Drosophila melanogaster: one gene and its partners. The protein of the gene in region 3 interacts with the protein of the main gene of each other region in a pairwise test. Each region holds a gene or a part of one and is shown on either strand. Other genes may lie near its edges.

Region 1 (8,611 bases), on a different chromosome or scaffold from region 3:
GCAACAGATACACACGGCTCACACACAGATACTCTCTCTCACACACACACACACAAATGCAGACAGACGAGCATTTTTCAGATGCAGCTGCGTTTCGGAATCGAGGACTTGAGGATTGAAAATCCGTAAGCTAGATCCAGCCAACCAGTGCAGTGTTGATTGTGTTGCCGTGTGGACGCTTTTTGGTGCGTTGGTCGTGGGCTGAAATGCAAATTACCAGCGAAAAAAGCTGTAAAAGCTTGCAATAGCCACTGTGATATTAAATAAAAAAATTATTTTAAAATTTTAAATGATTATGTTGCATCGGCCCAGGCCAACTTCCAAAGGCAAAAACAGCAGCCTGCACTAGAAATGTGCTTTTAAACGTGTGTTGTGATTATAAATATATTAAATTAAATATACCTGGTGACAATAATAAGTGTCTAGATATGTGCCTCATTTTCTAGCACTTTCAGATATTTTTTAATTACCAGGCTTTATTATCACATAACTACACAAAAAAAAAGCAGTGAAGAAGCACATTCCACAAATTATTAAACATACAAATTAATATGCACTTTTTTTTATTTATTTATAGGTGCTACACATTTGCGGATTAACACAGTGCTTAATTTAAATCATTTCATATATAGCTAATCTATTTTTTTTTCTATTTTCTAGATGGCTCAGGTTATGAGTTATTGTAAAACGGTTTTGGTTAAAAAAAAAAAAAACTCACCCATCACAAAAAACCATCAACACACATCAGCCACACCATCAACATCCATCATCAAACAAAAATCAATGTGTTCATTTGCCGAGCTTTTCAATTTTATTTGTTTATGCCAAAGATGTGTTTACCGAATTAATAAAATTTTTTACAATGTGTACTTTTATTTGTTTAATTTTAAAAAAATGCGAAATTATGCGTTTTGCTTTACTTATTTATTTACTTGTAGTGTATTTTGCCTATTTATTGCATGCCATTCATCTAACAACATTTTTTGCCCTAATCCCAGCAGTCCCAGTGTTAAAACTTGCTTTTTCATTTGACGCAGCTCAATCCAAACGATTGACATAGACCAAAGCGAAGGAACTTCGAACGGAGTGACTTGAACGAAAAAACCCAGAAACTAAATTAACCAATCGCAACCATGTTTCCAATTGCAGATTTGAGCAGGAAGGAGAACACCGCACCCGATGTGGCGTCCACCGCCGAGATTCAGCGCAGTTTCCAGCGCAGCATTCTCAATGGCAAGCAGCGGGATGAGCAGAAGATCCAGTTGCCCGGATCTCGGCGCAAGCGCTTGTCCGTCACCGAGGTCTCCGACATGCTGTTCGAGTTCTACAAGACCAAATCGGCCAAGGTGCCCAAGGCGGAGCAGCCGCACCGTCAGGTCTCGCCGACATCCGGTGAGATCCTAGATCCCTCGACCATTTCGGCCATTGCCGTTTATGGTACGGCCTCCGAGACGGCCTCAAAAAACTTGAATGCTGATGAAGTGATGCGAGTTCAGAACGCCACAGCTACGCGTGTGGTGGGTGCTGCCGCTGGCGCCGCCGCCTCATTTCATCCAAGGCCCAAATACACCCTGAAGACAGCGGCATCGTCCACGGAGCATACCACGGCCATACCCACTTCGGTGCTGGTGGCCAATAGTGCGGCGGCTCTGACTCCGAAACCGCAGGCAGCCGTAATTGCCGAGGCCCTGATGCGAAATGGACTGCACAACTTCCAGCAGCAGTTGCGTGCCCAGGAGATACTGCGCCAACAGACACCCCATCGTCGCATCAAGGAGGAAAACGATGTCGAAATCGCTGGGGGCGACATAACACCCACTAAAATTCTGGAGAACCTCTTGCGAAAGCAGCAAGAGCGCGACCTCCGCCACTCTGAGTGTGAGAACGAACCGGGCTATTCGACCGAGGACGACGAAGAGGGTCGCTATCATGCCTTCGATGACATACACCTGATGGAGCAAAGCGGTGGCAAGTTCGGCAACAACTCCGGCATGGGCATGTTCAATGCCAATGCCCATGGAGGATCGGCCAGCTCGATTCTAGATGCCCATCAGGCCTTCCGCAACCTGGAGTTTACACTCAGCGATTATGGCGGCAGCAGCAGCAATGGCAGCACCACCAGTCCCAATGGCATCGGCCTGGATGGCGAACCCGTATACGAGTGCCGTCACTGCGGCAAGAAGTATCGCTGGAAGTCCACACTCCGGCGCCACGAGAATGTCGAGTGTGGCGGCAAGGAGCCATCGCATCAGTGTCCCTACTGCCCCTACAAGTCGAAACAGCGCGGCAATCTCGGTGTCCATGTGAGGAAGCACCACACCGATCTGCCCCAGCTGCCCAGCAAGAGGAGATCGAAGTACTCGATGAATCGCGAAAACGGGATGAGCGGCTCCATGTCCGATGACTCGCAGGGCAAGCTGATCATCGACTTCAATGGGAAGGGAGAGCTTGAAACCAAATAAATTTGTACGGGGACCGAGTGATGCTTCCATTTGATATACAATATATTTTACGTCTGGTGTCTTGTTTTGTCCATTGGATTTGTGGAAATTTATTTCTTGTCATTCATGTGTCATCCCAAATATTTAATGTTTACTTGTAGTAATTTATGTAATGTAAGCAAATGCAAGCCAATCTAATCAAGCATATAATCAAATTAGTCTTAAAGCCTTTTTTCTAACGATGCATTTATGCGTTAAAGCATCAGTTAATATCTCTTAAATTGTATAAAATGATCATTCACCAAATGTCAATTTTATACTTACGATTAAGTGTGCAAAATATTATCAAACAACACTCAAATATTTTCTAAGGTCTCTACTATTTAAGATATCACGATGTTGTCCAGAAAAAAAGTATTTAGAAAGGGTTCGCCTCGCCGTGTGCGTATTTCCAAAAAGTTCCCAGCATCTTGCCCAGAAACCCTCTGCCATCCAACGATCTCTTGACTTGGCTTGATTAAGCTACTAAGACCAAAACTTTTGGTAACTACTCGATAAGCTCAATCGATGCCATTTACAATGATATACATTATGACTGAATTAGTTAAGAGAATTGCATTGAACTGACAACTGAACAAACCATTAATTAACCAATTGAAAACCAACTATTCCTCGCCCTGAAGACATTCGTTTCATATATTTATGGACTTTAAGACTGAGTTTATTGTATCTTAAAAATTATTAACCCATGACCAAAAAAAAAACAAAAAAATTGGAACATTGTACGATTCCCAAACCAAAAACCAAACACTTATTATGCCTAAATGTTTTAACTGATATTAATGTTTGTATCTTACCATTAAGCTTGTGTGCCGTCACATTGAATCGCCCGATATTTTATGATTGTATACTTAATAAGATTATAATTCCTAACTGCATATCACGTGGTCTTCACCGATCGACGAAGACACGATTACGAACTGTGGGCAGTGTGACTGCTAAAATAAGACATGATTTTATAATGAACTTTTCATATACAATGTTTACATTTTAAATAAAACGCAGATATCTTTTAATTTTTAAAAATACGTGTGTATAGTTTATTATTAGGCGCAAGAGACTTTGTACTATGATTATTGAGTCGAACTGCGTTAACAAATACTTTTGAAATTTGATTCTGATACCAGGAGATTGCAATATGACTGTGGAGTGATTCATTTACATATTAAAAAGCTAACACCGTTGAAAATTTAAGAAAAATGCACCAGTCGCGAAATTTATGATCATCCACTGTTGGCTGTAGTGTGTGTGTGTGTGTGTGCAAGACTGTGGAGATGCATTCCCATGGAGCGGTTGCATTGAATCATTCTTTCAATACGAGCAGCCAATGGCCACGGTGAGGAAGTCCTCGAACCCAATGGTGATGGTTCCATTCTGCTGGGTGTCGCGCTGCCTGAAGGCCTCCGTGAAACGCTGCACCTGCACGCAGAGCACTATGAACTGATCCACGGACACCTCTTTGTGGCCCTGGGGGTCGCTCTTCTTCACCAGGAAGTTTATGAATTCGGGCGAGAATCGAAAGCCCATCTGGGTGAAGGCTGCCAACAAGTTTGGTAATTAGTGTAAAAGGCCATAAAGGAATTGGAGATTCAGTTGTTGTGTTAGCTTACCTTGGGTCAGCTCCTGTTCCTCGATATGTCCAGAGGAGTCCTGATCGTAGGTCTTGAAGACTTGCTGCAACAGTGATACAATGAGTCAGACTACTTAGTTTCGATATAAGAAATACCTTACCAGCCATTGGTTGATGTAGTTGTAGAGCTTCTCGAACTCATAGATATCGATGGTACCACTGGCGTCGTTGTCGAACATGCCTGTTGAGTAAATTAAAAAAGGCGATAAAAATACAACATAAATCGCAGGGTAAACAAACGGAAAAGTGTCTGGCGCTCCAGGTGATCTAAACAAATATGCATGTACCCTAAATTGGGGCAATAAATACAGTGAAACATTTATAGCCGAAAGTATAACTAAATTGATACTGACTGTCTGTTAGGGGAGTACTGACGTCACAGTTTCCGGAAGGGGAATCGAAGGAATTTTAAAGTATTTCATAACTGAAGCTTACTTAGCTATCATCAGCTCACAGGATGATCTAAATATATGTGCCCATGTGCCCTTCATTGGTTCTTGGCATACAGCGGGTGTGCTAGGCTACGCATAGAAGATTCAAATCGACAACCTGTTCTTGTGTTCTTGTGTTACTATATTGCCTACCAAACTAGTTTAGCTTATGATCGTCTTTTAGAGGGTCTACTGTATAGTATACAGTGTATACACGTTTGTTAGTGTTCACCTACTGACGTCACAGTTCCTGTAGAGGAAACTTTGGGATCTTTTTTGGGCAGGGCTTAAGCTTACTTATCATCAGCTTGCAGGCATTATCCGAGAAGTGATCGCCACGCCCATTCACCAGGGCCGCCTGCAACTCGGAAGCGTTTATCTTTCCAGATCGGTCGCGGTCCACCATGGAGAACCATTGCTGTGCCTGCGGAGACACCTGGGCATTCTGCGGCGGAAATGCTCCTGGCGGCGGGGCATAGCCACCACCGGGCTGGGCATACGGGTTATAGCCTTGTCCCTGTGGATAAACGGTAGTAAGTACATTTAATCCACTTTCTTAAGCATAAACACACTCACATAAGACATTTTGTCACGAGCCTAGTTCGATTCTAATTGGAACTTGAGGGACAAAACAATTTTAATGAAACTACAGATGACAAGAAGGGCGTTCACCAACACTGGTTTGGGCAAGCGATAACAATGTGACATATCGATAGCATTGCTAGACTTATTGCTTGGCTATACTCCCATCCCTATCGCCGGTATAAACAACTAACAAAAGCAGCAAAACATTAAGCAAAAATGTCGAACTTCGTGAACTTGGACATCTTCTCCAACTACCAAAAGTACATAGACAATGAACAGGAAGTCAGGGAGGTGAGTTGACGGTTAATATCCTAAAAACCACCATCTTAAACCATTGTTTTTAGAACATCCGCATTGTGGTGCGCGAAATCGAGCATTTGTCAAAGGAAGCGCAGATTAAACTGCAGATTATTCATAGCGATTTGAGCCAGAGTAAGTTCTGTACAATTTGGTAGCTTGTATGTTTTGTTCTAATATGACATTATACTTGAACAATAGTTAGTGCCGCCTGCGGCTTAGCCCGCAAACAGGTTGAGCTGTGTGCCCAAAAGTACCAGAAATTGGCCGAACTGGTGCCAGCTGGGCAGTACTACAGGTGAGTCAGATGGTGAAATCCGTGGTGTCTATTGTGGGTGTCGAATGCTCCGCCTTCTCCAGATACTCCGATCACTGGACCTTCATTACGCAGCGTTTGATCTTCATCATTGCCTTGGTTATTTACCTGGAGGCGGGCTTCTTGGTCACCCGCGAAACAGTGGCCGAAATGCTGGGATGTAAGCTAGATTTGGAAGGCTCTCTGGATACGAAATAATAGTTAATTACTCCACAGTGAAGATCAGCCAGTCTGAGGGCTTCCATCTGGATGTGGAGGACTATCTACTGGGCATACTGCAGTTGGCGTCGGAGCTCTCCCGATTCGCTACCAATTCCGTCACCATGGGCGACTACGAGCGTCCCCTGAATATCTCCCATTTTATTGGTGACCTGAACACGGGCTTCCGTCTGCTGAACCTGAAGAACGATGGCTTGCGAAAGCGCTTCGATGCCTTAAAGTATGATGTCAAGAAGATCGAGGAGGTCGTCTACGATGTCAGCATACGCGGTCTGTCCAGCAAGGAAAAGGACCAGCAGGAGGAGCCGGCTGTTCCTGCAACCGAATAGTTTACTTCGTACGTAGGATAAGGCGTTTATTAAAATGAAAAAGTTTCATTTAAACAAGCAAATATATTACATTCATTAAACAGAGTATCATTTTATTTTACTATTTAAATCAGGAATGCTCGTAGGAATCAAATGTAGCAGGATATATGTATGTAATCCTGTGTTAAAAATCTGAAATGTGTTTTTGTTTTTTTTCAGAACACATTTCTTTACATCTTAATAGGCACCATCTTATTTTAATGATCAGTTTACACAGAAGCGAAATAGTGCTTTGAACCATAACAAAAAAACATAAGTTTGTGCAACTTAAAGGTAATTAAAATGGCTGTGCGCGTTTTGATTAAATCATAACTAAGTATACATAGAGACAAGTGCAGAAGTTTGATGGCTTAACCCTTTTGAAACTTGTTTAGCCACCACCACTGGGCCGCAGTTGTTGTTGTTGCCCCGATCATATGGTGGATTTGTTGCTGCTCTTCTTTGGCCGCTGCTTCCGTTTCGCCTTTGCTTCTGCTTCTCAGGCGCAGTTTCAGTCTCTCTTTTGCCACCGCAACGCTTACAACGTTAACATTGCGCGCGCGTCTTTGCATTTTCTTGTTTGCTGCTTCGTCGTCCGTCGTCCTTCCCGTGTTGTTCTTATTGTTTTTTCCCGCTTTGTGCGCTCTTTATTGTTTCGCCCTTTCTAGCATTTTGATTTGAAAGTGGAGACTGCAATTGGTTACCATTTCAAGAAAGTAAGTCTGGCGGGCAGTTGGCCGTGTGAAAAGTCCGTTGGCCCAGAAACTCACCCGCTCTCTTGACCACGCCCCCTTTTCCGTCCCCGGCCCGAAAAAAAAGCTAAAAACTGAGAGACTCCAACCTGTTTGGCAATAATTGGGTCACAAATCTGGTAAAAACTTGTTGCCCGAAATGGTCACTAAACAAATAGCACTGTTTTTATTACAAAACTTTAGTTGAGTCTGCAGTTGCCTTGTTGTTGTTTGTTTGTTTTAATTTTTTTATTTCGTTCCGCAGACATAGTTGTTGTTTGGTGTTTTTCAAAACACGCTTTAATCGAAGCGGTTCAAAGTCCGAAACAAGTTTCCTGAGAGGCTTAACGGGGCACGCTCTCTCCTTGTTGCTCTTTCCCCTCTTCTTACAACGCACTGAGTGGGAGGAGAGCGAGAAATACTGAGAGAGCTTTCGACGTAAACATCTGAAAAGCAAAACCACAACAGACACCCACACACTGACGGGCAGGTGTTGCTCTCTGCGTCTCTCTTTCTTCCTACCCCCATTCCAACTTTCTTGCATTCTCATTTCGAAGGGAAAATGCCAAGGAAAAGCCCAGCCGCAAACCAACAACAAAAAGTCAATATAATAAACCCAGAATCCGAGTGCTAACTGTTATGGAAAGTAGCGAAACCATTAGCTATGGACCTCCTTCATTGAGTGTTTTGCTTGCATACCCGGCAATTAAAGACTTGCAGGGTATGTGTATTTTCAATACATCAAAAAACAAAAAATAATATATAGAATATATTTTAGTATCGAAAAAGATTTAAAAAAAATTGAAAAATTTTAAAATACGCCCTAATATTAGTTGTATTCCTCAAAGTCATATTTTTTTGAGTATCGTCTACTGTAAGTATTCAATTAGTAGTGGGTATGTCTTGAGACAAAATCATTTTAGTAAGTTTGCTTGTTTATTTCGCATGGTAATTACACGTTTATAGAACTATTAACCTGCATTGAATATGGTTGTCAAATAAAAATATTAGGTATACCTTGTTATGACCGCTTTTAACGACCACACTCAACCAATAGTGTGTTACGTTTTTAAGTGTCGCAGTACTTCAGAAATGTTCACAGCACTTTTAGTTCAATAACTCATGTGAATCCATGTAATAGTGGATATCTTGTAGTCGAGTATCTCAAAGATACCCCGCTCGCTTTATCAATTTTCGTTGCGCTGGCCGCGGCAGCTGTGAATGATTTGCAAGGGGTCCCAGCGCAACTGGTTCCCAGCGCCTTTGTGCTGCCCCTCGGAACCCGACCCTCCAGAGCCACCAATACCTCGATCGTACCGCTCTCGTTAGACATGCGTGGCTGGCTGCCTCTGTCGTTCGCAGTCGCCGCACATTTCAAGTTTGCTACGGTTCAAAGTCCAAACCCAAGATACAAATACCAGCACCAGCAGCACCATTTCGTTTTCATCGCAGTGGTTATTTTAAATCGAAATTCTCCAATCTGGGCACACTTTCGATGGGGGGGGGGGGGGGGTTACGAAGATCCCGGTCGTGCGATAAGCAGACGACATTTAT
Region 2 (8,361 bases), on a different chromosome or scaffold from region 3:
TGGCCTCATGTTTATTTAATCTGATCAATTGGCGCAGCGTGTCACATAAATTTGGACAATTTTAAAAATGCACAACATTTGAAACATTTGAATATTGCGCTTATATGTAAGTTTATCTTTCTATTTGCTGTTATTTATTTTGTAAGATCGCGAGGAAAAAAAACACATTTAAGAGGCTAGAGTTCGGTTTTGTTTTTTTTTTTTGTATCTGTCCCCTTGTCCGCGGCGCAGCTTTGTGATACGGATACAGACTTGCATTCTTTTTTAAAAAAGTCTATCTCTAAGTAAACTGTAAACATTTGTACCTACATATGCATTACATTATTGTGAATTTCAAAAAAACATATTGATGTCAGCAAAGAATCTGTATTTTTCGGTCACCGAACCGCTGATATTTAATGGAAATAAATCATATTTCTCTAACGTGGCTTGTTGGCTTTCAAATACGGGGTCTGGAAATAACTAAGAAGTTTTGAATTTTTTGTTTGGCGCCAACTGTAAGCTTAACAGTTGATTAAAAGTACAGTGTGTACACCCCATTACCCTACTGTTGTCTGGCAACGCGACGCTAAATAAGTTTAGACATATGGCACCCCTGGAAGAATATTTGAATTTGAATAATTCGCGCGCCTGAGAGCTGATGTTCGTATTTTCACAAGTGGTAAGTGCAGTTTACTAAATAGGTAAAAATGATACTTTCAATATAATTTGATTAGGTTTAGAGTTTGTCCTATTTCGGTTGGCCATTGGCTAACACTAAAAGATCGCCGCTGCCTTTTACAACACTGCACTTGCAAGCCGGGCTTTGTTATCGCACAAATTTTATGTAAACAAAAGAAAACTTCGATCTGCTCCATGGTGAGTATTCCAAACTAATATCCTATATGTTTTATATCAGGTGATTTCTGCAGATCAGCTTAGCCCCCCTGATCATCCTAGTCCTCGCTTGCCTGGGAAACACGGCCAGCGAGAAGTTGCCCAACATTCTGCTGATCCTGTCCGACGATCAGGATGTGGAGCTGCGCGGTATGTTTCCCATGGAGCATACGATCGAAATGCTGGGTTTCGGTGGCGCCCTGTTCCACAACGCCTACACGCCCTCGCCCATCTGCTGTCCGGCGAGGACGAGTCTGCTGACGGGCATGTATGCGCACAATCACGGCACCCGGAACAATTCCGTAAGTGGTGGATGCTACGGACCACACTGGCGGCGAGCGCTGGAGCCCCGGGCCTTGCCATACATCTTGCAGCAGCACGGATACAACACCTTCTTTGGCGGGAAGTACTTGAATCAGTACTGGGGTGCTGGGGATGTGCCAAAGGGTTGGAACCACTTCTATGGCCTTCACGGGAACTCTAGATACTATAACTACACACTGCGCGAAAATAGCGGCAACGTGCACTACGAGTCCACCTACCTAACCGATCTGCTAAGAGATCGCGCCGCTGACTTTCTAAGAAATGCTACACAATCCTCGGAACCGTTCTTCGCGATGGTCGCCCCACCGGCAGCCCATGAACCCTTCACTCCGGCACCAAGACATGAGGGTGTGTTCTCCCATATCGAAGCCCTGCGCACACCCAGCTTCAATCAAGTTAAGCAGGGTAAGGTTGTTATCAAATGATATCTATGCCACCAATATACATAAGTACCCTTTTTAGATAAGCACTGGTTGGTGCGAGCAGCACGTCGTCTGCCCAACGAAACCATCAACACCATAGACACGTATTTCCAGAAACGCTGGGAAACGCTGCTGGCCGTGGACGAACTGGTCGTCACCTTGATGGGAGTGCTAAACGATACGCAATCGTTGGAGAACACCTACATTATCTACACCTCGGATAACGGCTACCATGTGGGGCAGTTTGCACAGCCCTTCGATAAGAGACAGCCCTACGAAACGGATATTAACGTACCGCTGCTAATCCGGGGACCTGGAATAGCACCTGAGAGCCACATTGACACTGCCGTCAGTCTAGTGGACTTGGCACCGACTATATTGGCCTGGGCCGACATCGACACACCATCCTACATGGATGGGCAATCATTTCACGAGCTTTTGCTCAACAAAAGGCGAAGGGTTCCATTTTTCGAGCGTTCCCTGTTGATCGAGTACTGGGGCGAGGGAACTCTGGCCACCTTTAATCCTGAATGCCCTTGGCCAGAAAAGGATCGATTGGCGCAGTGCACCCCCGCAGCGGATTGCCATTGCCAGGATGCATGGAACAACACCTACGCCTGCTTAAGAAATATTCGCCATCGCGAGGATCGCATTTACTGCGAATTTCGGGATAACGAGGTAAAGAAGCATTTGACATTTGCCATTCTATATATTTCATGTGTTTATAAATATTTCAGAACTTTTTGGAGGCATATGACCTGCAACTGGATCCCTTTCAAATGACCAACATTGCCTACGATCTGCTGCCCATTGAACGAGCTTTGTATTCGTTGCGTCTCAAGAATCTCACACAGTGTTCGGGCCACTCGTGTTTTGTATAGATATATGCATATTACTCCTAGCCAAATAGTAATCCAAAACCAAATTCAAGTCCGCTGGGCGCATATAGATTTCATATTCAGATATCATGTGATTTATGTTGCTATATACATAGTCTCATATTAATCGTATTTTACAGTCTAAAGTTACACTTATTTGAAACCGTTTCAGTACTGAAAACATAAATAAGTTAGTTGATTGCGCTGGTTAAATGCGTGAGATTGCTTACGTGCTGAGCGGGACGTCCCCTTCCGGACACGATGGTATGACCATTCCTATCGATTGTGACAGTGCGTCCGTCCGGACGCTTCCAAACGGAGACATTATTGTCCCAAATTCCTGCCTGATCGTCGCGGGCCACAAAGTTCTCACCCTGGACGCGGGCATCGTTGATCCCACGGCGGAAACGTTGAGCGGAGAAGCCACCGTTACCGAAATCAACAGTGCGATCTGGTCGCTCCACATGGAACTGTGGACTGCGTCGACTGCGTTGAATATAGACGCCGCCATTACCAATGGTTACGGTGCGATCTGGGCGTGCCACATGAAGCTGTGGACTGCGTCGGCCACGCTGAATGTAGAATCCTCCGTTTCCAACGTCAACAGTGCGACCGGGACGCTCTACGTGAAACTGCGGACTGCGCCGGGCACGTTGTGGGATTCCCACGCTCTTAGCTCCATTGGGCCCTAAATTTTTGGCGGAAAAATTGGGACCACTGATGGTGTGGGAAGCTGAAATTATGAATATAGCATTAGGATCTTCGAGAATCTGTATAGAGACTTAAACTTACCTGGTCCACCAGCGTTCTTTCGGTTAACAAACGTGTTGCCCGCCTCATCGGTGTACACATGCTCACCCCGTTGAGGAGCGTTTTGGAACTGGCCACCCACTCCCGGCACGCTGTAGGTGCCTTCATTCTGGCCCCTTATATAGACCTGATTGCCCGGTGAACCGAAGACATGCGGCCCATTGCGACCGTCGTAGGTGTGTTGTGGTTCCGCAGCTGCAAGGATTATAATAATGTTATGTAACCGCTTTCGCGAAATATTATATTATATCCAGAGGTTACTACTTACCGACGCAGATAACGCCACAGATAGCCAGTGCAATCAATCCAAACGATTTCATTGTGATCTGTTCCAGAGCCCAGCTTCAACTGAGTGCAATCGAATGGTTTCTAGTATTTATAGCCGGCACATAGCCATCGAATCTGGTTGCTGAGCTTGTTTACACCGATCGTCAAGAATTTCCCAAAACGTCACAATCTGATCTGAAATGGGTGTGCGTTCGGGAATTTCTGAACAGATTGCGCCGCCCTGACCCGCAATAAGCCATTAAGCATCCACATATGCTAGAAATCCACCCATCATCCCGCGGAATATGTGATCGCTTATTTGGAAAAGCTGCCATAACTTGTTCAGTACTCGTATACCATGCAACTTATGTCACTAAATTATATTATAATATGACAAGAGTATTAACTGCATAGGTCTCTTTATTTAGCACGTGCTTATATTGTTTCGTCGACTTGAATCAAACTGTCGGGTTTTCTTAGCCGCCAGATAGTTGCATTTAAAGTGGATTGCATTTGACACGAGAATATATTCCTGGAAGTCTCTGGTTGCTACTATTTGGTGGCCAACAATGGCAGTAAATATTGGCTAAGTGAAACTCTTTTAAGATATTGCAACCCCATTCTCTGCTGTCACTTGGTATAAAACAAAATATATTTTTGAAGGCATTCCTTTATCTTTGGATTTAAGCAAAACTTGAGGCTATATATCAGCTCGACTAATTTAAGAGTGTTGTCTAATAATTTCAGCTTTTAAGTGTTTTTCGCTTTAAAAGCTAATGCTAATCTAATTATATGAGTTATTACCTCCGACTGATAGTGTAAAGGTACTGCGTAATTAAATTAAATTTTATTTTTAATTTTGGAAAATACATTGTTTATTCGTACGTTAATATAATCTCATGACATAAGTGACATTCTCATGAAATTTCTTGGAATATTCGAATTTAATATATATCTTTCGAATGCAATAACCAAATCTATTTCAATCTATTTCAAACTTGATAAGATTTGTTACATATTTTTTTAAGTTAAAGTAACACCTGACCGTCCATTATAGCGAGCGGTCACTGTATTCACCGCTTGGTGGATGCGCCCACCCATTTGAATACAGACTGCATTGTCTTCTTGGTGAAGCCAAATTCGATTCGCTTGGCCTCATGTTTATTTAATCTGATCAATTGGCGCAGCGTGTCACATAAATTTGGACAATTTTAAAAATGCACAAAATACACTAAATTTGCTGGTTGTTTGTCTTGGCCAGACCAAAATGGCAAGGATGTCGAGGATGCCCAAGGTGCCCAAGATGCCCACGACAAATAGACGACACTTGTGACCACAAAAAGGGGTTTGGCTCTTGGCTTTTGTTGGCTTCTGGCCACGTCGATGTCGAATGTTGGTGCAACTCAACACCTTGGCAAATGAAAAGAAATTGCCCGGCGTAGCCCGGCCTGTGCTGTTCTCTTCGGATGTTTCCGGTTGCACGTGCAGATGTCTCAATAGAAAACCCCACACCCCCCTATTTCATCCAGCTTCGTTCGCCAAACAAAATACTTCAGTGCAATTGCATTTAAATCAGTTGGCCGTGGTGCTCGTGCGTTGTTTTCCTTTCGAATCCTTCGGATACTTCGAATCCGTCGGGACCTCCGTGTGCGCGGCACCCACATAAATTATGCAAAATTTTTTCCCAGCCAGCAAGGCGAAGGAGTCGAATGTGTAGAGGAGTAGCAGAAGGTCCATGTCCCTGTGGCCTGTGCGCCATTTGTTCATTTCGAGACCAATAAAATGAGGCATTTGAAAGTTGTAAATATGCTGCTGCCCCATTCGACGTTCAGTGTCTGCGGCTCGTAAACTGTCGGCCAGTGTTTTGTCGGTAATTTTCTATTTGCCACAGTTGCGTTGCGCTTAATGAATTGCTTGTGTGCGGCTTGTTGCATATGCATAAGTGGTGGTGGGGGTGGGTGGAAAAAGAAAAACCCATCTATTTCTTTATTGCATTTAAATGCGCCTCCGGCGAACATTTCATTCGTTCATTTCCATATTTAGTCGTAGCGACTTGGCTGCCAGCGCTTTCTTTGTGTCCACCGTGTAACATAATATTTTACTCAGGGATCGCAGCGAAAAACAGTGGAAAAATTTGTTTGGCCAGCGGATGGACAGCTGTAAAATGGGAATAGAAAAAACAAACGGAATGGCTCGTGCCATGTCATGTTTTGTGATGCACGGGTCCAAGGATGCGCCGGGTGTCCTTTTTGCGCCCCTTTGTCATGTCGCTCGAATGGCGCACACCCAACCATCCGGCCATCCGAGCATCCAAGCATCCAAGCATCCCAGTATCCTCGCATCCTCGCTTCCTCGAACCCATCACCTCCTTTGAGCACTCGCCGTGACAAGGCAAACGAATTGAGGCATAAGTAGGAATCGCTGTAATATTGCCAGGCAACAACCCATCCGAGTTGCTGTCCAGTTCGGATCACTTTGCAGTTCAGTTCTTAGTTCGGCTCAGTTCTTGTCGTTGGGCCACCGAAAAAGTTTAAGCCAAGACAATGCGACATAATCGAAAAACAACAGACGGATGAATTCGCGTGAATTATGCTGAAATTGTGGGAGCCCCCCTCTCTCATCGGCCAGTTGTGGGGGCTGAAATGTTTACTTTTGATTGACTACGCTGTTTGATAAGACCGTCTCTTGCCGGGATTACAAAGATCCATTTCAGGGGGACATGCTGCACTTCATCAGAGTGTTGTTCATGGTTGGGGAGGAGCTAGTGCTGGTTGGTTAAAGTAGATTTATGCATGCTTATATTTCATATTAAATGTTTATATAAATATATGAGTATTTTAATTAAAATTTTATGCTTACTTAGTAGTAGTCATCAAACCTTTGTTTAAGAATATAATATAGTATATTTAACTAATAAATTTTCCACATAATTACTTAGCGTTTAATCACTAAGTGTCATAGTAAATGTAGGTAGTCAAATTCTCTAATTAGAGTTTCATTTGTCTTAAGAACTACCTAAAACTCCTTAAAACAAATTTGGTAAGATTTTTACCTTAATAGAATTAAAGGTACAATATAAAAACAGTAACAAAACTACCAAAACTACGATTTCGAATTGTTTATTCGCTTTCTAGGGACTCGTAATCCTTAAGTCAGCAAAGTCTAAACCAAATCGAATATAATCCGGATTCCGGATACAAAGTGGTTTCAGCCAAGAAGTATGCAACACTTTGCAGTCGCCTGCATGGACGCTGGCAATCGAAAACTGTTGCATACTTGGCAGCTGCACAGATATATATATATGTACCTATATACGAGTATAGCCCCACTTTGGGGCCATGTATGCGTGCTGGACTATTTATCAATTTATTACGCGCAAAAAGTTTGCTGTGCGACTATAAGCCAACTGTCGCTGCCAACGATATGTGGCATAAACCTGTTGTATCCGCATCCTGACATCGTTCAATGCTCATTGGGAATAAGCGGTAGTGTGCGTGCCGCAAAATTAGCCAGGCATTCGCACGACATACGTATGTAAGTATATATATACGTAAATCTGGGCATCAGGTGGCTGGGGCTTTGTTAACGGATTTATGCAGCCATAATAAAACTTGGGCGCTGCAAATTGATTTATGGCTGGGAGAGCGCGCAAACAATTGCAGAAACACTACTATTCTATCTATTCTAGCTCGTAGGACCTCCGCTGCCTGGAAAACTTTTAATTTTCTAAATGTATTCGCCGACAGAGAACTTGATGCCTTCGATACGCAACGCACATAAAGAAGCAAAGCCAACTGGCGGGAAAACCGAGTTTGGAGTTGGGCGCACATCCGTCCCAGAGAGCCGAGGTGCAATTTAATGGCGAGGCCAACGTAAAAACTGGAAAATTATGACCAAAATGAGAATTTAATCGAAATACGTGAGTGGAAAAATGAAAATTTGACTGCAACTTGGGAACGCGTCTGACTGGCCGAAGACCGAAGCTTTCTCACCTTTCTTCTCTCTGGGAAATGCTGTGCAGTCAGCAAAAGGGGATTCGATTTATTCATACGCAATGTAGTACATTAAATGTCTTGTTATAAATCACTACTCGTATTTATAGGGATATATGATTATTAACAGCAAACTTTTCTATTTTAATACCCATTCTATGTGTATAACAGTTTAGCTACATAACCATAATGTTCAAAAACGTGATTATCTCTAGTCCTCATTTGCTTGGCTTTTAATAATTTTATAGAAAGTTAAAAAGATATAAGAAGAAAGGATATTTCTTTAACATTACTTAACATAAAACCCAATAATTTTGAACAGTGCACAAGTAGCTAGGCAACAGGCGGCGGAAAGCAGCATAAAGTACCCAGTGCAAGCTCATGCAACTTTTATCATGGCCACAAATGCTACTGCTGCTGCTGGTGGATCCTGGTAGCTGGTTGGTGGGTTTCTGGTTGCTGGAGCATCCTGGCATCATCATCAACACTGGCTTCATCTGCTTACGCGTTGCCTTGAGGCCCACGCCCACCGAAAGCCGCCCACTCGCTCTAGGAAATAGCACAAATTAATGCCACCGCCACCGCCACTTGCTGCCTTTCCACCGTTGCGTCTGTCTTTAGCTTTACCGTTGCCCCGGAATCGCGTTGCACGTTCCTTTATTTTTTTGCCCGATTCCCATACGCAGGCAGACAGACAGACAATTCTCAAATGAGTCAACAATAGTAAAATGCTTTATTTTATTACCAGCCAGAGCCGCCTTCGCCAAGAGATCGACCCGAGGAGCTACCTTC
Region 3 (8,243 bases):
AGAATTAGGTAATCATAAATGAATATAAACTTGTAAATAAATATATCACATACATTCTTGCCGCATGGGCAACTCCTGACTTGCAAAGGACACTCTCCATCTCCGCAGGGTCCAGCGTGACACACCTTCTCGCAAATGTGCAAACCACAAGCAAATGGAGCTCCACAAACCTGAAAGAATATTAATGTTGTTTTATGCTTCAGCTTCAAAAGGCTTTTCTTACATTCTGACACTTCCATTTCCGATCGGAGCAGTTGACCATCTTCGACTCCCGCTGGCACTCGCAAGGTTGTAAGCTTTTGCTGGTGCATGGAGGACACTTTCCTGGCTGATGACACACCTGATTACATTTGTGCTTGCCGCAGGCTAGAAGTTCCTTGCACTGGAAAATCATTTTTTTAGTATGGTGGTCAGACAAAATTTCTTAAAACGTTAAGACTTACAGTCTGCTGACACGTCCACTGCTTGTCAATGCACCTCACGGACCTAGGACTAGATTTACCACACAGGCACGAGACCTGCGCCTGCTGCGCACAAGGAGGACATGGCCCCGGATGACATAGCAGCTTGCAATCGTGCCCACACTTCGGTTGCAAAAGCTTTCCGCAGTGCTCTCCGCATGAGTGGGGCACAAGGAAGGGCTGGTTCTCGGGGTTCACCTCCTTGCCGCAGAAGCAGTTGTACTGCGTGGGCTTATCGGCCGGTTGGTAGTCCCTGCGGCACTTGGGGCAGCACCAGTGAAGGGATTTCTGTCGCTTGGGCGGCACAAATTCGCCCAGATGATTGTAGTGGCCCTGGCCGTTCTGCTGCTCTGCCGCCTTTACCTTCATCTGCATCATGCTGTCGTTGGCCCACCGTTGGATGCACTTCAAGTGAAAGAAGCAGTAACAGCTCTCGCAAGACCAAATGGCCTCCACCCGCCGAATGCTTCCGATGCAAATGAGACAGGTTGCCGCTCCCGAGTGTAGAGTGTTTTCCAGAAACGTACTGGTGCGTGCCGCTTCCTTTGAGCTTCCTGCGTTGTCCGACGGTTTGTAGTTCTTGTATAGGAGTTCTGAAAAGATAAAGCACAAAATTTGATGGTTTTCAAATGACACGTCACAAGCATCGGTCGATTTACCCAAAATGTGATTCTCATCCAGTTCGCCTTCATCCTCGGAGCTGGAGGCGTAGGTGTCCACCAGTTTTTGGGCGGCAGCCAAATTTTTAGCTTGCGCTTTATTAAACTTTTCCATTTTTAAGCCGGCGTTTTTGTCTATCAACTGGGAATAAATTCCTGGGGTAGAACCAGGGATGGCTCGTTCTCTGATAACAGCAATTAGGGGATCTAGTTCCGAAAGGTACACATTTGTGTGAGCTTTCAGTTTCCAATTGGGAATTTCATTTAATTCAAAAAAAATACATACATACACATTAATACCTAAATTATCAAACATCCTCTCTGCATATTTTATTGCATTTAATAATTTGGACCAACATTTTGAAGTTTACAATTAATAGGTCAGGTATCTAATGTGGCAGCCCTGGTATTCGATGTTAAACATCTGTTCGTGAGTGCGACACCCTGGAACAGCTTTCACATCATTTGCAACAAAATAAAATAGAGAAAATTAAATATATCCAGACATACCGACTACGATCCGATCCAAGATGAGTTTCCTAAATTACGTGTTTGGCCCCAACCTCTACATGGAATACCGCGGTGTGCCGGAGCCGCAGCGCAAGATGTACGAGGCAGGTGCCGTGGAAAAGTTCGGGGAGCAGATTCTATCGACGGTAAGTGCCCTGCGATCCCATGGGGCAGAATCTGGAGCATATGGTAATGTGGAAAATCGACACTCTCCGTTGCAGCTATCGGTTATGTGGTCCGTGGGCTATTATACTTCTCCGCTGCTCGTCACATTCCTATACCGACGCGGCTACCTGGTGACCGATTCCATACCGACGCTGGCCAAGATCACCACCAGCGTGGGCCTCATCGTCATCCTATCGCTGGTGATGCGCGGCCTGGGGCGCAAGCAATCGCGCTCCTACTCCAACATGATTAAGGCCCTCGTCCGAGCAAAGTCCTCCAAGGCACCAGGAGATGCCAACAGCGAGCTGCGTCGCTTCGACATCGAGTTCAACGCTTGGCCGGTGGACTTTGATGTGAAAGCTCTAACCGGGTGAGTGGGCTACGCCTTTGAAGTGTGCCAGAATAACATCTTCGTTTTCAGTGATACCAAAAAGCCGGTGGTTACGGCTAGAAGGCGGGAGCCCATCCAGCTGGCGACACTGCCCTGTGAGGCCATCGCCTACCTGGCCATAAACACCTTTGGGCTCTCCATGATCTATCCGGGTTCGGTCAAACTACTCCAGAAACTTATGAGTAAGAAAGATATACATATGTGAAGCTGTCTGAAATGTTGTTAAATTGCAATCCGATAAGCCCATAAGATAGACTTCTACATATACTGAACCTAAAATATTTTGCAGGACCCATGCTGATCTCCGGACGCGCCAAGCTCATCGAGGATGACAACGGCATCCGCTACAAGGTTAAGACCATTGACTCGAACGAAATCGATACGTTGTTCATTGACAATCGCCCAAACAACGTGGGAAATGGCAAGACTCTAGTCATTTGCTCCGAGGGCAATGCCGGTTTTTATGAAGTGGGCATTATGGCCACCCCAGTGGCCTTAAAGTATTCCGTTTTGGGCTGGAATCATCCCGGATTTGCCGGCAGCACAGGCACTCCTCATCCCCACCAGGACAAGAACGCCATCGATGCCGTGGTGCAGTTTGCCATCAACAATCTTAGGTTCCCCGTAGAGGATATAATTTTGTATGGCTGGAGCATTGGTGGCTTTAGTACACTATACGCTGCCTCTGTGTATCCGGATGTCAAGGGAGTGGTACTAGACGCCACCTTCGACGATGTGCTCTACTTGGCCGTTCCTCGCATGCCAGCTGCACTGGCGGGCATTGTCAAGGTAGCCATTCGAAACTACTGTAATTTGAACAATGCCGAACTGGCCAACGAGTTCAATGGACCCATATCCTTTATTCGCCGCACTGAGGATGAGATCATTGCAGAGTGAGTGATAACTTTTGCATTTGGGCAGAGGTCTTTCCTAAAACGTAACCCATTGATTTCCATTAGGGACAACCACATTGACACAAACCGCGGAAATTTCTTGGTCTTGTCAGTGCTCAAGCACCGGTATCCCAACATTTTTGGGGCTTCCCAGTTGAATAAGGCCAAGGGGCTGCTGTCTAAGCCCCTGGAACCATACAGTATCCCCGTCGCCGACGAGAAGCTGTGCATGTCGCGCCTGATCACCTACGCCTCTGACGAGGGCAAGTCATTCCCCATGAACATTGGAGCAGATTACTCGGAGGAGGTGCGCAATCTGATGGCTGTGTTCTTGGTGGGTTTATTCGGCAGTTTAAATGGTCTATATATCTAATACTGTTCACCTTTCAGCTGCGCAAGCATTTACGTGACTATAACTCGACGCACTGCACCCAGCTGCCCGGGGAGTTCTTTACCATGCCGTGGGACATACCCACTGAGCAGGGATTTGTGTTCACCTAAGCTCATTCCGCAGGTGATCCACGGCCGTATGCTTAGATTTAGTAAAATGGTTTTTAGTAATTTTTGCCTTCTGACTGCTTATTAAATTATTCTAACTGGGAACAGCCGGGTAGCTGGTGTCTTCTGAACTGGTGTGAAATTATATACAAAATAAATGTCACAAGCTAAACTAGACGCGTCGTCTTGTGGTTAGTTTCTATTTCATGGTACAGCTAAAATTGGAGGGGAGGGGCAGTTCAACACTTAGTTCCTACGAGTTCTTCTTTGATCCACCGAAGCCGGAGAAGCCCATGATGGCGGCCATGTCGTCGGGCATGCCGCCGGACTCGAAGTCCGTGTCCTCGGCCTTGCGCTTCCGCTCTTTTCGCTTCTCCTTGCGGTGTTCCTTGTAGCGATCCTCCTCCTCCTTGGCCTCCCGCAGGCGGCGCTCGAGCTCGTAGTCTTTCTGCTTCTCCTCCATCTTCTTCTTGTTCTGCTGGAAGCGCTCCTTTACCTGGTCGACGGTGCTCCGCTCCACCTTCATGGACATGCCCAGATTGCGCTGGTGCTTCTTGCCATTGATGTGGTCCAGAAAGTTGATGGAATCCTTGACCACGCAGTCGCAAACGTTGCAGTAATAGCCACCGGATTGCGAGGTGGGTGTGTTCTTGTTGATGACAACGCTCTTGCCCAGCTTGCTGTCCAGGTCCACCTTATAGTCGCGTCGCTTGAGGTTCTCCCGCTGTACGGGTTCTGGTGAAAAACAAAAAGACTTTTATTATGTGTGCCTTCCAGGGAATTTAGACACTGACCTTCTTCCTTGGGTGCCACCTGGTTGAGCAGCCGCTCCGCCGCCAGCTTCTCGTACTCGTTCTTGTCCCATTTCCTTCGGTGGTCATCAGGTCGCATCGTCATGGTGGCGCTGGGATGACAATTGCACTAAAATCTATTCGGTAAAAGTAAGGCAATGAAAATTTGTAAATATTTTTGTTAGCGATGCGGCGGTTTGCGTCTGAGCTAAGATTTTGGACAGGGATGACAACTTGATATTTTTTTTTAAATGTTATCGATGGAACCAGAAGGCGGATGTGAAAATGTAAAAGCAGTTGTTAATTTTAATTTAAAAAAATTGTATTTAAAGTTTAAATTAAAGCTTATTTAATAGCATATAAGTCCGAATCTGTATACACAAAAAAATGGACCTAATTTTGGACATCGACGATAACCACAGGTAGGTAAAATAATCGATGTGCGATAAATATTGATTTTTCGTATACAGCAGTTAGGAAAAAAACGGTAGGTTGCAATAAATACCGTAAAATCTGGGAAATTATTGTATTTTAAAGTTTCATAGCCAAAAAAATGGGTGCCGCTTTCTTTCCCGTGCTGTTTTTCACCGCCTTGTGGGGCGGTGTGGGCATCGCCATGCCCATAATGACCCCCAAAGGACCTCACCAGAATCTGATCCGCTGCATCCTGATGCTGACCGCCGCCTGCTGCTGGCTCTTCTGGCTATGTTGCTACATGGCCCAAATGAATCCCTTGATCGGGCCCAAACTAAAGCGCGATGTGGTGGCCATGATTGGAAGGTCCTGGAACAACCCAATTGTGGCTGGTTAGGAAAATAGAGTGACTGCTAACTAAATTATTCTGCAATAATCGTCACATTAGCTGTTTGTTTTACGTTGTAAATAAGAAGTAAAAATATCAAGTGTTCTGTTAACTTCGAATTGTTTAAATATCAGATATTCAATAATAAATTAAATATTTAGATTGCCTTGTAAATAAAATCTATAGGCATCAACTAGTACATCTGCAGAATACTATTATTGTTTCAAACCAAATATTCTTTCTACCAATATAAATTGTATAAATGAAGACAGTTTGAATAATAGGTCTATTTAATTTTTTGAATAATTTAAGTTAAATTAATATTCTTTAGTTAATTAATGGCTACCACACAGTTATGCTGAATAAATTCCAAAAACAAGAAAGTATTTTGACATTCCAAACAAAAAGACAACCAACTTTTCCTTTCTGTTTGCACATATTCATATTTTAATTCTCTTTATAACTACTGCAGTCAGTAGCTGGTCCACAATAGAAATGCCTTCCCTGTCCATTTGAATAACAGAAGAATAACGATACTTTTGCTGATAAGCGCAGAGCGAAGAGAAAGAGTGGAGAGAGAGAAAAAGAGCCCATCTTCTTTTCTCTTTTCTTCGTCTGCTGGGGGCCAACACCACCGAGATTTGTAGCCACCGTCTTCAGTTAACCTTCAGTCACGGGCGCGATCAGTTGGCTTTTCCGATTCGTGTGGTTTTGCAGTGCCCATGGAAGAAAATACCGTGAATTTCCGAATCAATAGAAATTAGTCGCATAAAAAATAATCCAAACTGTGCAGCATTTGTGATTGAATTCAAGTACAAATCGATCGCAGGGAGTGATTCTTAATTCTCAAATGGAAACCGTCTTCTGCAACGGTGGACGATAATTGAGTGAAGCAAAACCTGGCAGGTGAGCTAGTTAGGAGTTTACAACTTAATTTGCAAGAAAGGTGCAGGAGCATTCCGGAATCTTCGGACTCTCCCTAAGCCAAGTCTCGCGACTTGGGCCATAAACTAGTTAGGCATGCCATAAAGCACCGGGTGTGCAGAAGGTCCGAAACTGGTTACATTACCACCAGCGTAAGAGGTCTAAAAAGCCTGGCCAAGCACAATAATCGCGCACAAACGAGCTGGCAAAGCAACAAAATTATGGATGTTAAAACGAAAAAAAAAAAATGGCAATAAAAAAGAAACAGTCTGTAATAAAAGAAATTAGAAATTAAGACTCCGCCAAACACCCGAAAAAAAGGGCGGCACGAAGCAAAGAGCATTCGCCCAAGCCAGCCATTCCGAAACCAACTGGCACTGGCACTGGCACCAATAAAAGCGTTGAGAATGTCTTAAAAAGGTGGACAGGTGATCGTCCAAAGAGCTCGAAAAAAAAACAAAAGGCCCGGAGATCGCTTTGTTGCCTCCTCGCGTCGCAATTCTTCTTGGTGTCGCTTTATATGTCGCTAACCGCGCAATTACCACGTTCATGAACTGGGCCAATCGACAGTTCACTGCTCACTGTTCACCGTGCTCGGTTCACTTCGCTCGTGGCCATTTCCCATTTTCCCCTCGGCCATTCCGGAGACGGACCCGTTGCACTCCGCTTTGGAGCCACGACATCGGAGATGGCGCACCGCGGGAGGAAACTCCATTATTATCCGATCCCACTAACCGCTATAAGATGAGTGGTTCGCCCATTATGTCGGCGGATTGTTATGGGCGATGGGAGATAGAAGCGGTTGCATCGATAGGAACATAGTATATTGGAATTATGGGGCATCTTCGGGGGTTCAGACAAGCTATAACTAAGAACTTGTTCAAAATTAATGCTGATTTATTAAATTACATGCATTACTGATGTTTGCAAATATGGAAGAGAAATGTCATTTCATCATAAGATCAGTTGATCCTAGATGAAGAAACATGTGCCTATAATAAAACATGTAAACAAGAAAACGTATATAAACATACATACATTATATTACCGCCTTTTTGTTATTCATGCATTTAATTAATAATAACATAGAAGGAATGTTTTTTAGTGATCTACTTGTTCAGTTTGCCCACTTTTCTATTTTACAACAGCATTTAAATATTTCTAAACAATTAAGTTTTTATGAGCCCAGCCCCGGGTGCTATTATCCTGACCGCAGCTGTGCCCATTACAGATATGAGTGTTTTGCATGCGCCTATCTATGTATGTCGTTGCGGAAATTGATTTTTAGTCGCAGTTAAGATCTCAGTCGTTTACGGTTCTCGTTCTTTTTTTAAAATAAAGCGGCAAAAAGACAGGAAGAGGCTGTGGCTCTCGGCACTCATTCTTCTTCTCCACATTTTTTTTTATTTTTTTTGACCCAATTCGAGGCGGGGCACCCAGTAATAGCCGAGCACTGACGCAAATGCGCCAACGATCCAAACTGACTCATTGATAACTGCAGCCGGAGAAAGTGCCAAATGAGCAGAGCCACTGACTCAGCACGAGACACTCGGATTGGGATGCGGACTGGGACAAGGCTGTCTCGACAGGTTGCCAAATCCACTTCCAAATCCCAGCCAGCAGACGAATCCGAATCCAAGATCTCATCCTAGACGCATAAACACACCCATATCTTTCGCTCTTTCGTTTTTTCTGTCTAACTGTCAGTAAGGCATTTGCAGTGTTTCTCCCATTATTTTAACCACATTTTCGTGCTTCTTTTCCTATTTTGACAATTTTCACCTCATATTAGTTTCACTGAGGCAATGAAAATTTTCATGTTTTTTCGTCAGTCGGAAGTGGATCAAACGACAGGCGAAATAGAAATGCGCAAAACCAGATTGAGATTGAAAAATTATGTACATTTTTACGAGCATTTCTTTTTTCTTTTTTTTTTTTTTGTTATTTGTGTTTCTGTTTTGGTTTATTTTGATTTCGTTTTCGTTGTCTCGACACTCAAATTATTCATTTACGAGTTAATGAAACACTTTCGCTCGTTAAGAGTCGGTCAAGTCAGAGGCCGAAGATCTCGGAGATCTGAGATCTGAGCTCTTAAGATCTCAGGTTAATTCTCCGCCTCCACAAAAAAAAAAGACTTTTTGTCTTGCCT

What was found.
Region 1: the proteins of CG11586 (region 3) and Pef interact in a two-hybrid assay, tested with the Drosophila melanogaster proteins (one large-scale study listed by BioGRID).
Region 2: the proteins of CG11586 (region 3) and BaraA2 interact in a two-hybrid assay, tested with the Drosophila melanogaster proteins (one large-scale study listed by BioGRID).

What each region holds. Positions count from the first base shown.
Region 1 is NT_033778.4:10,476,791-10,485,401, reverse strand, and holds Pef (peflin), read right to left. Parts: upstream 5,240-8,611; 5' UTR 5,148-5,239; coding exon 5,139-5,147; intron 5,080-5,138; coding exon 4,860-5,079; intron 4,313-4,859; coding exon 4,233-4,312; intron 4,176-4,232; coding exon 4,112-4,175; intron 4,040-4,111; coding exon 3,813-4,039; 3' UTR 3,516-3,812; downstream 1-3,515. Other genes in the region: trsn (translin), read left to right, coding at 5,364-5,438, 5,492-5,579, 5,646-5,742, 5,805-5,920, 5,977-6,308.
Region 2 is NT_033778.4:13,402,312-13,410,672, reverse strand, and holds BaraA2 (baramicin A2), read right to left. Parts: upstream 3,663-8,361; 5' UTR 3,631-3,662; coding exon 3,579-3,630; intron 3,506-3,578; coding exon 3,293-3,505; intron 3,234-3,292; coding exon 2,731-3,233; intron 2,675-2,730; coding exon 2,669-2,674; 3' UTR 2,504-2,668; coding exon of another isoform or gene 2,360-2,503; 3' UTR 2,315-2,359; downstream 1-2,314. Other genes in the region: CG18278 (uncharacterized protein), read left to right, coding at 856-858, 912-1,605, 1,663-2,300, 2,360-2,503.
Region 3 is NT_037436.4:4,257,893-4,266,135, forward strand, and holds CG11586 (uncharacterized protein), read right to left. Parts: upstream 4,579-8,243; 5' UTR 4,475-4,578; coding exon 4,372-4,474; intron 4,313-4,371; coding exon 3,831-4,312; 3' UTR 3,581-3,830; coding exon of another isoform or gene 3,470-3,580; 3' UTR 3,414-3,469; downstream 1-3,413. Other genes in the region: CG15011 (uncharacterized protein), read right to left, coding at 54-170, 224-382, 444-1,054, 1,121-1,235; CG1309 (uncharacterized protein), read left to right, coding at 1,651-1,776, 1,852-2,165, 2,217-2,368, 2,476-3,079, 3,146-3,413, 3,470-3,580; VhaM9.7-a (vacuolar H[+] ATPase M9.7 subunit a), read left to right, coding at 4,922-5,179.